Linked DNA regions of Stegostoma tigrinum. The protein of the gene in region 1 interacts with the protein of each later gene in a pairwise test. Links are inferred from orthologs where the notes say so. Each region holds a gene or a part of one and is shown in the gene's direction. Other genes may lie near its edges.

Region 1 (7,547 bases):
CAGAATGAATTAATTAGGTAGGAGGTGAAATGTCATTTTCCTGACAGCAGGTTCAAATTTAGAGATTAACTCAACAGGATGTTTGTGGTGGATTGGGCCTCACACCATCCTGTGGCAGGTTCCTATTTGTGAGACTTTTGCACGCTAGGAATATTCATCGTCATTAAATCTTTTTAAAAATCATACCCCATTTTCATGTCAGCAATGTGCAAAATCATGTGGCAACAAATTTCCTTTGATATAACATGTCATGCAACTATCACCTTTGCGGAGTTGCCGGTTTCTTTGTTGATCTCTGTATCACATGGTGAGGAGTAAGCAAACAGCAGTTTGCACCTAATCTCAGGAACTGGAAGAGTGAGTCAATAGTGAAAGAGAGGCACATAGTAAAATTGAGGACAGGGAACAAAGAATCCAAGGACGATCAAACAGCAGAGTCGGAGGCTTGCAAGAATGAAGAAAATCCAGCATTTTGGTGTGGTGGAAAGTCAACCAATGTAAGAAAACGAGCTGCCTTGAGGGCAGTGTCAGAGTAAGTCCATCTCAGGGCACAAAGACAGTGCAAAGACAGGAGAATGATAAACAGTCTCATGTTTTGTACAAGATAATAAAATGTGGGGCTGGATGAACACAGCAGGCCAAGCAGCATCTCAGGAGCACAAAAGCTGACGTTTCGGGCCTAGACCCTTCATCACTGCTGTGTTCATCCAGCCCCACATTTTATTATCTTGGAATCTCCAGCATCTGCAGTTCCCATTATCTCATGTTTTGTACAGGTTCTTTTACAGTTTCACCAATACCTGCTACATTGCCAGCTGATCACATGCTCACCACTGAAATCCTTTCCCTATCTTAGGACTGCATGTGCCTCCCCATACATGTCTGTGGCATTTTAAATGATTCAGCATAAAATTCCAATGGCAGAATGGAAACAGAAAGCTGATGAGACCCTGGAGAAAATGGCAAGTTAAGTGATGGTGCACATTGAAGCTATTTTCAGTGGGGTTCTGCAGGACTCAGTTCAGCTTAAAGGTAGGGGCATGATCTAAAAGGTTTCAAGTGAAATGAAAATTGATTCTGTGGTTGATAGTGAGAAAGGAAACTGGAAGTAAAATATCAATGGACAGTATAAATGTGCAGTAAAATGGCAAAGAAATTCAATACAGAAAATTGTGAAGTAATGTATTTGGAAAGGACAAACACAGCAAAGTAATTAATAAATGGTAGGATTCTTGGAGGTACAGAGGATCTTCGGAGTCTATATCTATAGATCCCTGGAGGAAGCAGGGCAGACAAGCAAGGCAGTTAAGAAGGCATGGAAGAAACTTTCTTTTACTGGTTGAGGCCTAGATCAGGGATCTGAATCCTATAGTTCTGGAAACCTGGCAGCTCTTTAGCATCTTATTTACATCTCCCAATCTTTTCAATCTGGATTGTATTAACATGAAGAGCCCAAAAAACATTCAGTCAAAAAGAGTAGAGCTGTGTTTTATTGTGGGGTGAAAAAACTAATCATTATACTGCACGTCTCCATTTAAATGATCATTTTAACGAGAAAACATCATTATGCTTAAATAAGCCTGTCTGAGTGGTATAGCTATACCATGGTTATAAATTATGCCTTTGGTTTGGAGAAGAGGTTTTCAGTTTGTAATTTCTTTTTAAATAGCTTGAATGATAAATTATAACGAATATGCTATTAGAGGCTTTTCTTAACCATGTGACTCAGCTGAAAACACTGTTAATTTTATGTAGTTCAAGTTAATGCTCTTCTAAAGTTGACTCTACTGGTAAAACAGTAAAATAAAAACATAATTCAGAGTGAGGTCAATATTTATTTGATGTTTTTATATTGATACATAAACTCAACCCATGTATTTTATCATCGTAAGCATTTTACCAGAAATACTTGGCAAAATGTTAAGCATTTAGTTTAGAAATAATGATTTTTTCATTTTGCAACTCACAATAACTTTTATTTAGAATTTTGTTTTGAAGAAGGATCTTCCAGTAAAAACAGTTGCCAACCCAATAAGCAGGATGTTTAGGTTAGAGCCGTATAAAACACCAATCAGACCACAGTTAAAGTACTATGGATGGTTCTGGTAATTGCACTATAGGAAGGGTATGATACCATCCTACTGTATGCAGAAGACAATGAGTTTGAGCAGTAAGGAGATTGAATAGGCTATAGTTGTTTGATTTGGAAGGAGCTTGAAGGACAAGTTAATTTACATGTTGGAAGTTATGAGGGGAGTCTAGACAACCTGCATAAAATTAACATATTTCCCATTCAAAGCTCCATAGTGAGAGCACATGGATTTAAAACTATTTGATTCAAAGGTTCCAGGTGAGTTTATGTGTAATCTTTTTCACTGAGGTGGTAGTGTGGACTTGCAAATCTCTGCAAAACCCTAACGCTGCATTTTAAAAATATTTGGCAATGCATTTGAGGTGTTATAACCTACTGGGGCTGCAGCCCAAGAAATGGAAGATGGGATTATATTTGATAACATTTTCCTGCCAGCATGGAGCCAGTGGGTTGAATCACATATTTTGTCATTTTACTTGCAAATTCTTTGTTTTGAATTCCCTCCATCTAGAAAATAAGCTAGAGCATTGTTAGTTTTTTATGGTCTTGTTAACTGGTGTAGCTACTTTCTACATCTGTAAACCTTAGATCTCTTTGGTCTTCTACTCGAGTTGGATACTTATTTTCGAAAATGTATGTGCTCTTATTCCAATTATCAAAGTATACATCTCATAATCATCTATATTGAAGTTGATGTACCAACATTTTTCTTCAAATACACATTAAGTTGACTAAGCTCTTCAAACTGGTGTTGCATTCTTTAGGTTTGCATGCATGTTCTAGTTCTGTCAAGCGTTTTGAGAAATGTTCAGTATTAAAGGTAATATAAATGGATATTGTTATCACATTTATTATTAGATTTTAAGCCATACACTTTTGATTTTATTAATATTAAGTAAATAAACTCCATCCAGTTCAATAGCATGACCAAGATCACTGATGTTTTAAAATAGAAAAACTGATGGAAATTTTTAACTTTAATGAGAAAACATTAAAGAAAGCTTCCAAAACCCTTAAATATAAACAAAATTTGACTTATTTAGTCAACATAAACCAATGTCTCTAATTGCAAACAGAATGCAGTCTCCCTAGCTTAACTAAAAATCCTAGAAGTACGTGCAATAAAAATAAAATTTGAACTATTCAGTTAATCATAAATCAGCACTCCTGGTCAGGATTTACAGTTCCAGAGAGAAAACACAGACATGCAAACACAGCTGAATAGAAGAAAATGAATTTTTTTTTATTATTAGTCTAGTATTCATAACCTAACCATAATTCCAGCATTCATCATATTAACATCATTTAGGCGCTCATTTTAATATACACCTGAAAGCAAATATTTTTATTAAACCAAATAAAACTTTAAAATCAAATTCCCAAAAGTAATTGTGTTGCACTTGATTATTCTTTATTGTGATAAACAAATTTCAAAACATTGTACAAAGTTGTTTCTGAAAAATACACTCCATCAAACAATACATACACAGATTTGATAAAGGTGAGCAAACTCATTAAAGGTTATAATTGAATGAAAAGAAGCTGGTTCCAGCGCCAAAACAATCAGTTGCTGGAGGGAACAGATTTAAACGTGACTGACACAAGAACACAAAGTAAGGCGATACAACATTGTTTTTACGCAGCAAGTTTCTATCTAGTATGAACTACCTGAAAAGGTGTTGCAAATTGTTTCAATAAGGACATTCATAAATAATTGACAAAAAATGGAAAGAAAACATGTTCATAAGATAGAGCGAGGGGGGATGTTGTGGGAGATTAACGTAGTTGATGAATTTCTCAATTAAAGAGCTGCAACTGGCATTATGGGCCGAATGGCTACGCACAACGAAACTACAAATCTCAATGATCAGCTTCCTGGAGCACTGGTTCTCCAGATTAGTCAGTTAATGCCATTTTCAGTGATACACCCTAAACGAAGCACACGGGACTTCAGAGATAACGGGAACTGCAGATGCTGGAGAATTCCAAGACAATAAAATGTGAGGCTGGATGAACACAGCAGGCCAAGCAGCATCTCAGGAGCATTCCTGAGATGCTGCTTGGCCTGCTGTGTTCACACGGTTTTTTGGATGTTGATCCTCATTAGAAGGGGAGTACAGGGTGAAAATAATCATCCATTTACCGGGTCCTTGACTACTGTGGGTTCAGCTGCCCTTAGAACAAAAATCTAGAAGTCTTAACACCGTCTCCTCTTGTGCCCCATGCGCTGCCCAAGAGAGTGAAGAGCCAGTATTGCTCCCTGTCATGGCCGTGGCCAGCTCCCCCCACCCTGCTGTGTTACTGCCTCCAATGCAGCCAGCCCAGCGGTCTTCCCAAATCAAAATTCCGAGCTCAACGAGGCCGCCAGTAGGGCCCCATGTACAAAATCGGGCAAGTTTCCAGAGGTGGGAGGGGAGGGAGGGAATGGCTTACCCACATCTCCAGGAACAGTCACGAACGATCCGCTACACCGCTCCTGCCTCTATCCGGGCCTGTGCATCCTGCTCATGTGTATCGGAGCTCTTTGGAAAAAAAACACAACCGAAAAGACAGGCAAGAAACAATGATTTCTCAGAACCTGCCTGCTGCTGGGCATGAAATCACCCGCCTCTGCAAAGAAGTTTTGCCGATCGAGAAGCGGCATAGCTGCAAACTCTCCGCTTGACTGGAGGAAATCTTGGTTGGGCTGGCACGAGAGGTTGGGGCGGGGCTCGACTCTGGGAGGGGGCCGGTGGAATCGCGAGCGCAGCGCGCGGTGGGAAACAGAAATCTCCAGGACGAACGATAACGGCTAACAGCTCACCTGCGGTGGCGGTAAGGATTCAACCTCATTCCGTTGGCGAGATGACAGAAAGAACCCGTTTGAAGTTCGAACACGGGTTCGGATTCTCTCCTTTCCATGATTGGAACTGTTTACCGTTAGGAACGACGGAGATAATCGATTCCGAACTTCAAACAAAGGAGCGGGGGCGGGATCTGTCACGCTGCCCTGGTCGCTTTTTGTGTGGCCATTGGCTAGCAGCCGGCGGTCTCGGTCACTGATTGGCTGATTGGCCTGTCAATCGACCGGAGGTCGGTGTTGAGGTGGTTGAGCGTGAAGAGTACGCGGCTGTACATGGACTGGTCAATACTTATGAATAAGCTCCATGATAGAAGCAGTGGGCGAATGCGGAACGGGAGGCTCTAGTTGGCGGCAGGTTTGGGTGTACGCTCGGGGTTGGGGAACAGGGCCGGTTTGCTCAATAACCTGTCACCACCTCGCTCCCGGGGCGCTGGCACTGTGCTGGGAGGGCAACACTCGATCCTGGGGGTCCGTGGAGGTGAGTGGCTGCTGTTCTTTCATAATGTAGCCAGGTCCTGCCCAGATGGGAAACAGGCGCGGGTGGGCGAAGCAGGATTGATCGGAATTCGTGAACTGCAGGCTGGATCGACTGTGAAGAGGATTGGAAAAGACCCTTCGCAGTTCTGTTTCACCTGGTGTCTGAGATTCTCTCTCTGCGGAAAGCAAATGTACATTGAGACACTGGTCACTTATGTTGATTGCCCTGTGCAAAATCTGCTGGACTCAAGTGAGGAAGAGTGCACGAAACATATGCACTTCTATATTTACATACTGTGTGTTAGTATCCTCAGTATACAACCAACTGTTTAGATAAGGGGACCAGATAATACAAGTAGGATTTGTAATCCTGTGATTGAGAGTATCAGAGGCTATTATTGCAGCGTTAACATTGGGCGAAAGAAGTGAAGCAATATCAGTAAACTTGGGTAGGCAGGACAATTATAGTTTGAGTAAATCTAAGAGATACAGAAAAGAAAATGGTTTTCATTTGCACGCGAGTAAGGCCGTAAACATGCGATTATACTGGGTTCCCAGGCAAGATGTGCTAAATATAAAAATCAAAATGTAGTTTGAACGTATATAAAACTTCAGCAAGATTACATTTGGACTATGTGTACTATTTCGAGTTCTATAGATAGTAAAATGATATGGTGATAATGATTGTGTGGCACAGATTCACTAAGATTCTGCCTGGTATCAGCATGTACAAATTCAAAAGAAAAGTAAAGCAAAATACTGTGCAGGCTAGAGAAAGGGGAGCTGTATTAACATTTGGATTGATGGCTGTTCTGAAAGGTCACTGGCCTGAAATATTAGCTCTTTCTTCCTTACACATCTATTATTTGACCCTATGTTTGTGTTCTGTTTAAGAGTTGGAACCGTTTTCATTAGAAAGGAACATTAAAGGGTATTTAGAGCAGTGTTTAAAATTATGAATGAATCTGACAGGGTAGATTTGTTTTTATGTTTTGACAGGTGTAGAGTTACAGGAAATAGACTAAATGCACAGAATTATTTTGGACATGGTTGTGAAGTTTTGAAACATGTTTAACAATTGAACCAATAAAAATGAAAGCTAAAAGCCGGTTAAGTATATGAACAAAACTAAGTGATATGGGAAATGGGTGGACTACGATTTATACAGAGAGTGAATGTCAACATAGATGGGCTAAATGGTTCTATTTTTGTTACAAATTCTACGTGACTTCATACAAAGCAAATGCAAATTAATTTCACACATGGTAATATTCTACAAACAGCAGAGATAAAATACTAGTTAATTGATTTTGGTGGATGGGCAAATTGCTGAATGAATTACTTTTAACAAGCACCTTTTGCAAGTATAAGATGTTCCAGCATATTTCAGAGTCAACAAAGTAGTTTTTAAGGTGCAATGGAGTATTTTACTTTCAATCAGATTAATTCTAATGTGTAATTCAAAAGGTGGCATTTCTCTTGATATACTACACCTTCAATATTACCCTAAACTATAACATAAGTTATTTGAAAATCATATTGTGGCAGTATATTATTTCACAAGGTGTGCTTCTGCAATATTGTGAGAAAAGAGACACTATCAGTTTGTCATTCACCAGCATTACAACCTTATTTTTGTTCAATTAATGCACCCAGACTAAAAATGTGGAGTTTGATTAACAATAAAAGAACATAGCATAGTTACGTTAGTAATTAGGGCATGTAGATATTGGGTGAAATGTATAATAGATGATAATAAGAACAAAGATAACAAAGTGTGAAGCTGGATGAACACAGCAGGCCAAGCAGCATCTTAGGAGCACAAAAGCTGACGTTTCAGGCTCTGAAGGGTCTAGGCCCGAAACATCAGCTTTTGTGCTCCTGAGATGCTGCTTGGCTTGCTGTGTTCATCCAGCTTCACATTTTGTTATCTTGGATTCTCCAGCATCTGCAATTCCCATCATCTCTGATCACAATAATAAGAGCAGAGTAAGTTATGGATTAAGTTGTTTGGATTTCCCGTAAGGTAGAAATAATCATACTTTAGACTTAAAGTAATGAAACTTCATCAAGTGTATACCTTGCATCTATTTCCATGTGACTGGTAAATAAGTATTGTTAATTGGCACATAATTT
Region 2 (7,730 bases), on another chromosome or scaffold:
CCCAGTGTGTGAAAACATTGCCCCATGGGTCTGTTTTAAATCTTCCCCCTCTTACCTCAAAACTATGTCCTCTAGTTTGAACTCCCTTACCCTGGGGAAAAAGATCTTGGCTATTCACCTTATCTGTGCACATAATGATTTTATAAATCACTACATGGTCACTCCTGAGTCTCATATACGCCAAGGAAAACAGTCTCAGCCTGTGCAGCCTCTCCTTAAATTTGAATGCTTGCAGACTTGGTAACATTCTTGTAAATGTTTTTTACCCTTTCCAAATCAGAATTATACCTGGTAATGCAAATGAGGCCTTACCAATGTCTGGTACAATTGTTACATGATATTCCAATTCCTGTACTCAGAGTTCTGACTGATGAAGGCAAATGTGACAATGTCTTCTTCATGGGCCTGTCTACCCAGGATGCCACTTCCAAGGAGTTATGTACCTGCCCTCCTAGGGGTCTTTGTTCAACAGTACTCCCCAGGGCCCTACTATTAACTATGCAAGTCCTGCGCTGGTTTGCAACACCTCGCATTTATGTAAATTAAACTCCATCTGTCACATGTGACAACAAGACAGTGGCCCAGAGTAATGGTGATCTGCATCAACTGAAGCTTCTCAGCAATGGCTTCACCCTCAGGCCGGGGTTGTTGGCCAGAAAGTTAACTAACATGGCGCAGTTTCTTCGCTCTGGGGTTGTACTGGATGACGAAGCTCTATTGGTCATATCCTGTGTCCAATGAGGTTGTTGTGGATTCTAGCTGTCACACCTTGGAACTGACAATCGATGAGTTAAGCATTGTATCCCCTTCTTATGAGAATCTTTAAGACCAAAAACTTTCCTTCTCATCTGAACATCTCCCACATATTTGCACATATTCCCACATATTGCTTGTCCTTAGGTGATGGCTTCTGTATTACGTTTAGGGTTGAGCTAGAGAAGTGTAGCATTGTGAGGTTATCCACAAGCTTGTGGCAGACTAAAGTACTGAGGTGTCTGACCTTGATGGAGATGCTTGTGTCCAAGAATAAGATGGATTCTGAATAGTCCATGGTAAGTCTGATTGTGGGATGAAACTTGTTGATATTGCTATGTAATTGTTATAGTGAAGAAAAGAAGGAAGAAAATGTCATTGATGTATCAGGTGTATAACATTGATCGGAGGTCCTGCACGGCAAGCAAGTCTTGCTCGAACTTGTGCATGAAAATTTTGTCATATTGCAAATTTGGTCCCCGTGTATTCCATGTGTCTGGATGAAGAACTGGTTGTTGAATGTGAAGGCTTTGTGGTCGAGAATAAAGCTGATGAGTTGTAGGACGGTGTATGGAAATTGGCAGATGTTGGCATTGAGTACTGACACTTAATACTGTTGGACAATAATGTGGTGTCATGTGAGTTCTGGCTTTGCACGCCCCAATCCAACACCAGCATCTCCACATCATCGTGGTTAAGTGGACCTGGTGAACTGTGACAGACCAGATTGGTGAAGTAGGTGTGGTCAGTGTGAGGAGGTGGGCTTGGTCAAGTGGGTGTGGTCATGCTTAAGTGGGCATGATCAGTGTGAGGGGGTGGGCCGCTGTAGAACGATGGGGATTTGGTAAATATGAGAAAGGAAGGAGCACATGCTGGTAATGTACGAATACAATAAACTCCGGTGAAATTAAAACGAAATATTGAACTTGCCTGACGACGGTTACATCGAATGTCATTTAGTTCTGATGAAATGAAACTGGACTCAAAACTAACTCAGCTTTCTCCCAACAGATGCTGCCAGGCTTGCTGATTCTTGCCAGCAAGTTTTGATTTTATATCGAATATAAGTGTTTGTGTATAATTCTTGATCGAAACCAGCCAGAAGTTCGAAGAACTTCTGTTTTGCTCTTGATTTACAGCATCTGCAGTTCTTGCGGGTTTTGTTTGTAAAGGCAGTCGTCTGTTATCCAGCTAACATGTTAGGGAACTCCCCAAGGTCTTCCTGTTTCTCCTTTTTGGTTTTCTGAAGACTGCACTCTGACTTTGAGCCCTTGTTGGTTTACTCGATGCAGGTTTTGCCATGTCAGTGACACATCTGAATCCTTCTAGCCAGTGGACATGGGATGACTGCTCACCTTCGCCTTCATTTTCGTTCTTTCTAGAAACAAACTTTTATTTTTCTTAACACTGCATTATTAATAGGGTACATGTGGTTTCAGATACAAAAACAGAAATTGAAGAACAAGGAGTTAATCCCAGAGCTACAAAGTCCAAACAGGTAGAGTTGAGGAGGGGGTAGTGGTCACTGTGGGGCAGAGGAGTGCCTTCTCCAGTACTCCTCCTCTTGCTCGTCTGTGTTGTTTGGAACAACATCGGCAAGTCAGATATGTCAGGAAGTATCTCCGATTTCCTCTTTTTCATCAATTCAGCCTGTCACTCTAATCCCTGTTCTCTGTTTCGTCTTTCCCGTTCCAGCTTTTCTTGTTTAACCCTTTCCCTTTCATTCATTTCATGATCCTCACTGAAACTGCAGCTTTAAAACCTCAAAGGTTTTTGGTTTCCATTCATTATCACAGGCGCTAATCCCTCTTCTACATGTTATCCACCCAACTGGTCAGTTTTGCTTTCTCAGTCGGCTCCTCAGCTCTTTTTCTCCAGGATGACATTAAACCTTTCCATTTGCTTCCCGCATTACATTTCCAAATGGCCTGTCCGGCTTTAATATATTGATCAACGTCCCACGTTCCCTTTAATGGCCAATTCTTTTTTCCCAATTTTTTGTTCAGGCTCCCTGATGAACATCTTGAGTCGCTCCTCGTCCTTTGGGTTTTCGCAATGCATTTTATATAATGGATTCTATCCCCTGACCTATTCAAAGTTTGACCCATTGTTAAATAACCTTCACATATTTAGAACTCATCTAAAATCTGGAGGACTCGAACTGCAATCTATACCGACCTAGGGACCCACCCCTGGACACCGAGGAACTCTAACCTCCCAGAATTAGTTTGTCAATCTGTACTGACCTGGGGACTTGAAACCCAGTCACCGGGGGACTCTAACCTCGCAGAATTAGTTCATCATAGCCTTGGTGACTCTAACCTCCAGGCATAGGTTCAATCAGTGTACAAGACCATGAGTCATCTCAGGGTTCCGTCAGTACAGAGCCACAAAGGGGCCACAGAAGTGGTAGGTTAGTGAGAGAGACCAAGGTGAATCATACCTTGTGGGCCTGGCTCATGCCACTGACACTCAAACGATCACTTGTTCAGTCCTCCATGTTAGACCTCTGTACATGTTGGAAACCTACTCGCTGGGCCAAATGTTAGCTTTGTTTTTCAGAGACCCTCACAGACTTGATGCAAGAGCAAGACACTGACCTGGTTACAAAATCTCTTTATTATTAGTTTTTTATTATTAAGTAATTACAAGCTGCGGAGGATTGCTGTACACAGCCCAGCACAGAGTGCTGAGTATCATGAGCGATTCTCCCCAAACAGGGGACAGTCCCCACTTTTATACCCTTGGAATTGGCAGACACATAAAACAATTAGTACGTCTGAAACATCACGAGTATGTGGTCATGCTGCTATAACGAGAAGAGGATACAGCTTTGATCGGCACCAAGTGTATGATAGCGGCAGGATGTGATTTCAAGTGGTGACAACTGCCTGGCTTGATCAAAGGTCACTGACCTGGCCAATTCAGCAGAAACAGGGGTAGGCGGCAGCATGGGCAGAGCCATAAAGATTACAGAGCTTAATGTTTTTTGTGTTTACAGATGTTTCACACCCAATCCTATTTGGGTGTATACCCCTATATGACGAGATAAGGAGCATAAAAGTTCATGGGATGTTAACTCATTAACATCTCACAGAGACCTGAAAAAAAACTAACAACGACATTGCCCACCCTAAACCCTGTTTAAATGCTTCAGTGGCAGCACGCTGGCACAGTGGTTAGCACTGCAGCCTCACAGCGCCAGGGACCCGGGTTCGATTCCTGCCTCGGGCGACTGTCTGTGTGGAGTTTGCACATTCTCCCCGTGTCTGCGTGGGTTTCCTCCCACAGTCCAAAGATGTGCAGATTAGGTGGATCAGCCATGCTAAATTGCCCGTAGTGTTCAAGGGTGTGTGGGTTATAGGGGGATGGGGCTGGGTGGGATGCTTCAAGGGGTGGTGTGGACTTGTTGGGCCAAAGGGCCTGTTTCCGCACTGTAGGGAATCTAATCTAAATGGGAGGTGCCGTAAGAGATGGTTTGGGGGCGGAGCGGAATGGGGCGGGGCCAGTGTAAGGGGCGGAGCCGGGAAATGGGCGGAGCTAAATGTCATAACGGGGTAGGGTCAGTGGAAGGGACGGGGTGGGATCTCACGATGGAATGAGGCCGGTTGAGGAGGCGGGGCCGGAGGAAGGATCAAAGATGTTCCGCCTCTTGTAGTGACGTCAGGTCATGCCCGATGCCGGTCGATGAAAAGAAATCGCCAGTCGTCTCCCGTACCTCTATCACGTGATTAATATAACAACAAAAACCGTGAGGTGAATTGTTGAGGGAACCAGTACAGAGAAAGGAGGGAGAGGAAGTTAAGGAAAGGTCGGTGCATCATCTCCCACAGCCCCTTCCCAGTCCAGCTGGCAGTTTAGGCCTACTCAATCGGGTCTAACGGTGGGATAACTCAAGCCCAGCGCCCCTGTAACGGCTTATATCAACAGTGGTAGCAGGTAATGTGTATCCGCACCGACTGAAGCTTTGAATTCTTGGCAACGGCTTCACCCTCTGGCCTGGTTTGGTGGCCAGCGGAGTGCTGACTAACCCGGTCTCATTTGCTCTTGTCGGGCGACAAGTTATCCGACTTACCATCTTTAATCTTTGTCATCAAATCATCTCTTCTCCTTCCCTGTCGCCTCAAGCTCCGACATCCGTTCCGGACTGCACGGTGCCGAGTTTCATCTTGAAGCCTTTCTTCCTCAAAGTGCTCTGGAGGACCGGTCAAACAAACCGAAACCCACTACCTGCTGCACTGCAAGTGTCCTTAATCTCACCTGTCTTTTCACGGCATCCAATTCTTCAGTCTGTTGGCTGTGGGAGGCGATTGCACTGAATGATGAGTTTTCCGAGGTCTGATCAGTACTGCATATAAACTTGGTTTAATATTTCAATATATTTTAGCTCAATATTTAATACCTCAGTTTTTGGCCATGGTGAATTGTCTATGCCCAACATCACTCGAAAGTTACGCTGTTGATATAAATTGATAGACTCTCTGAGAGTCTTTGGACTCGAAACGGTAACTGTTTTCCTATTCCCCAGATGCTGGTAGGTCTGCTGAGTTTCTCCAACGCTTCCGGCTTTAATTTGATAGTCGCTGACACCTGAGCATCAATAGGGATTAGTTCTGCTGGAGTTGTGACTTTAAGGTAGGGGGCATGTGAAATAACTTTTTGGAAATGAAATGTGAGTTGATCGTGGGATTGATTTAATAGAGAAGAAAGTTATAGGCTGCTGAAACATATTAGCTAACCAAATGTTTCCATTCTAGAAAATTGAAATAATATTTTGTAAATCAAGAATCTTCTGCCATCAATCTTTTACCACTTGACCTCCAGAGTCATTGGCTTGATAGCAAGTAATGTAATTTTAGGTCTGCTAGAGCATATCATTTAATGTGCTTAAGCTCTAATTTGAATAAATTATCCATTATTACTGATGTAACACATTGAACATTACATTTGGAGGCTTTAAGTAGAAAGCTAAGGATTTGTCTGGCATTCTTCCAAACTGACCATGCCAGTTTTGTTACCGATGTTTATTTTAAGGAGATCATTTCAGCAGACAGTAAGAAAAGTTTGAAATCTCTTGGTCAATCTCTACATGACTCCTTCTCTTGGGACTGAGGGCAGTAGAAATTTCCTTACTGACCTAGTCATCCTCACTGAAAAGGGTAAGTCCTGGTATGGATGGGAATAGTTCCCTTATGATACCACTGCCAAGAGATTGTTTCAAAATACGCAAACTCCAGCCTTTGAGCAGTTAAGTGAATCTAAAAGCAAGGCCAACAAATCTTAAATACCCAACAGTGAGAATACGCCCTGATTTCCTGAAGTTTACTTCTTTTTCCTATAAAACTAAAATAAAAATATTATCAACCACAGCACTGTGACAGTCGCCAAACAAATTGCATCAAGGGCTTTCTTTTTATAGATTTCCTGTTTTGTATTCTGCCTAGTTAACAATTGGAACAGCTTCTTCTTGTTTCTGATCCAATAAATATCGTGAATTAATGTCAGATTGGAACAGCTTTGAGTGTATTCTGGAATGCTGGATTAGGTGAATTACTTTGTTGAATGCACTTTGTTTAACATAAGCATGAGATCATAGTACAGACCTTTAGCAGTTGGAAATCCCCAGGTTTTAATAGTGAAAGTACAGCACAAAGGACTGGTTTTGAATGTTATTTTATGATGTAATATTTATTTCTGTGTCTAGTACACAAATTATAGTTTTGAAAATAAAAATTGATCTAAAGTACAAAAGATAGTTGTTTCATAGTAGAAAGTTGAGTATTGCTTTAAAAAGTCACATCCTGTTTAAGCTTTTTGTCTTGAAATTTTTAAGACATTTCAAGAATACAAATTCAAGTGAAAAACCTGTTTAAAATTTTAGCACTACTCAAATCTAAATACTTCTTCGAAAACTTTGGAAAATAAAAGCCAGAACTCTAAATGATAGAGATGAGGCTTAGTGTTGTCATAGACTTAGAAATAAGGATGGGGAGTGTAGAAAGTGTAGTGCATGTGAAAATATTAAGAGAAAGACAGATTCATAGAACTTAAAAATGTTGGACCTTCGGAAGAAAGTCAATGAACTGATGGCACAAATAGTGACAAATAGATACGAACTAGTGGGGATACTGAAACGTCATTACAAGAAGTTCAGAACTGGGAGTTAAATGTCCAAGGGCACACAGTATTCCTAAAGGATAGGCAAGAAGGAGCAGGAGGTGGAGTTGTTTTGGTTAAGGATGACGTCAACGGTGTATTAAGAAATGATATCAGAACCAGGGACTAAAATGTTGAATCAGTCTACGTGGAAATAAAAGCAAGGGAAGGAAATCCCTTGGTAGGAGTACTTTACAAGTCTGTGAACTTTTCTTCTGAAGTAGTGCAAAGTACAAACCAGGAAATAATGAGGGCATGTGAGAATGTTATAAACTATAATTGAGTAATTTGAGCATGCATACTGACTGGATTAATCCAATCAACTTAGCAAGAGTAGCCTTGAAGAAACATACACTCTGAGGAATTGTTTCTTAGAGCAACATGTCATGGAGCCAACCAGAGAACTGGCTACTTTAGATTTGGTGATAGCAAGAACTGCAGATGCTGGAGTCAGAGACAACACAGTGTGGAGCTGGAAGCACACAGCAGGCCATTTCTGAAGAAGGATCCTGACCCGAAACATCAACTTTTCAGCTCCTCTGCTGCCTGGCCTGCTCTGTTCCTCCAGCTCCACGTTGTGTTGACTTTAGATTTGGTGTTATGTTACGAGGAAGGATTGTTAAATGGACTTGTAGTTAAGGATCCTCTTGGAAAGAGTGACTACAACATGCTGGAGTTTCAAATTCTAATTCAAAGTGTGAAGATAGAGTCACATACAAGAGTTTTAGTATTGGGCAAAGATAATTTATACAGGCCTATGAAAGGAATTGGTCTGATTGGACTGGACAAAAACATGTTGGTGCTTTTGAGGATGAGAGCAG

What was found. The genes of interacting proteins can lie anywhere in the genome.
Region 2: the proteins of sncaip (region 1) and NEDD8 ultimate buster 1 interact in a two-hybrid assay, tested with the Homo sapiens proteins (2 studies listed by BioGRID). The link is inferred for Stegostoma tigrinum from reciprocal best matches to the Homo sapiens genes SNCAIP and NUB1.

The regions. Positions count from the first base shown.
Region 1 is NC_081356.1:72,577,358-72,584,904, reverse strand, and holds the start of sncaip (synphilin-1), read left to right. Parts: upstream 1-4,539; 5' UTR 4,540-4,906; exon of another isoform or gene 4,907-5,052; intron 5,053-5,176; exon of another isoform or gene 5,177-5,412; intron 5,413-7,547. UniProt on the Homo sapiens protein: Isoform 2 inhibits the ubiquitin ligase activity of SIAH1 and inhibits proteasomal degradation of target proteins. Isoform 2 inhibits autoubiquitination and proteasomal degradation of SIAH1, and thereby increases cellular levels of SIAH.
Region 2 is NC_081355.1:147,142,045-147,149,774, reverse strand, and holds the start of NEDD8 ultimate buster 1, read left to right. Parts: upstream 1-4,727; 5' UTR 4,728-5,072; coding exon 5,073-5,089; intron 5,090-7,730. UniProt on the Homo sapiens protein: Specific down-regulator of the NEDD8 conjugation system. Recruits NEDD8, UBD, and their conjugates to the proteasome for degradation. Isoform 1 promotes the degradation of NEDD8 more efficiently than isoform 2.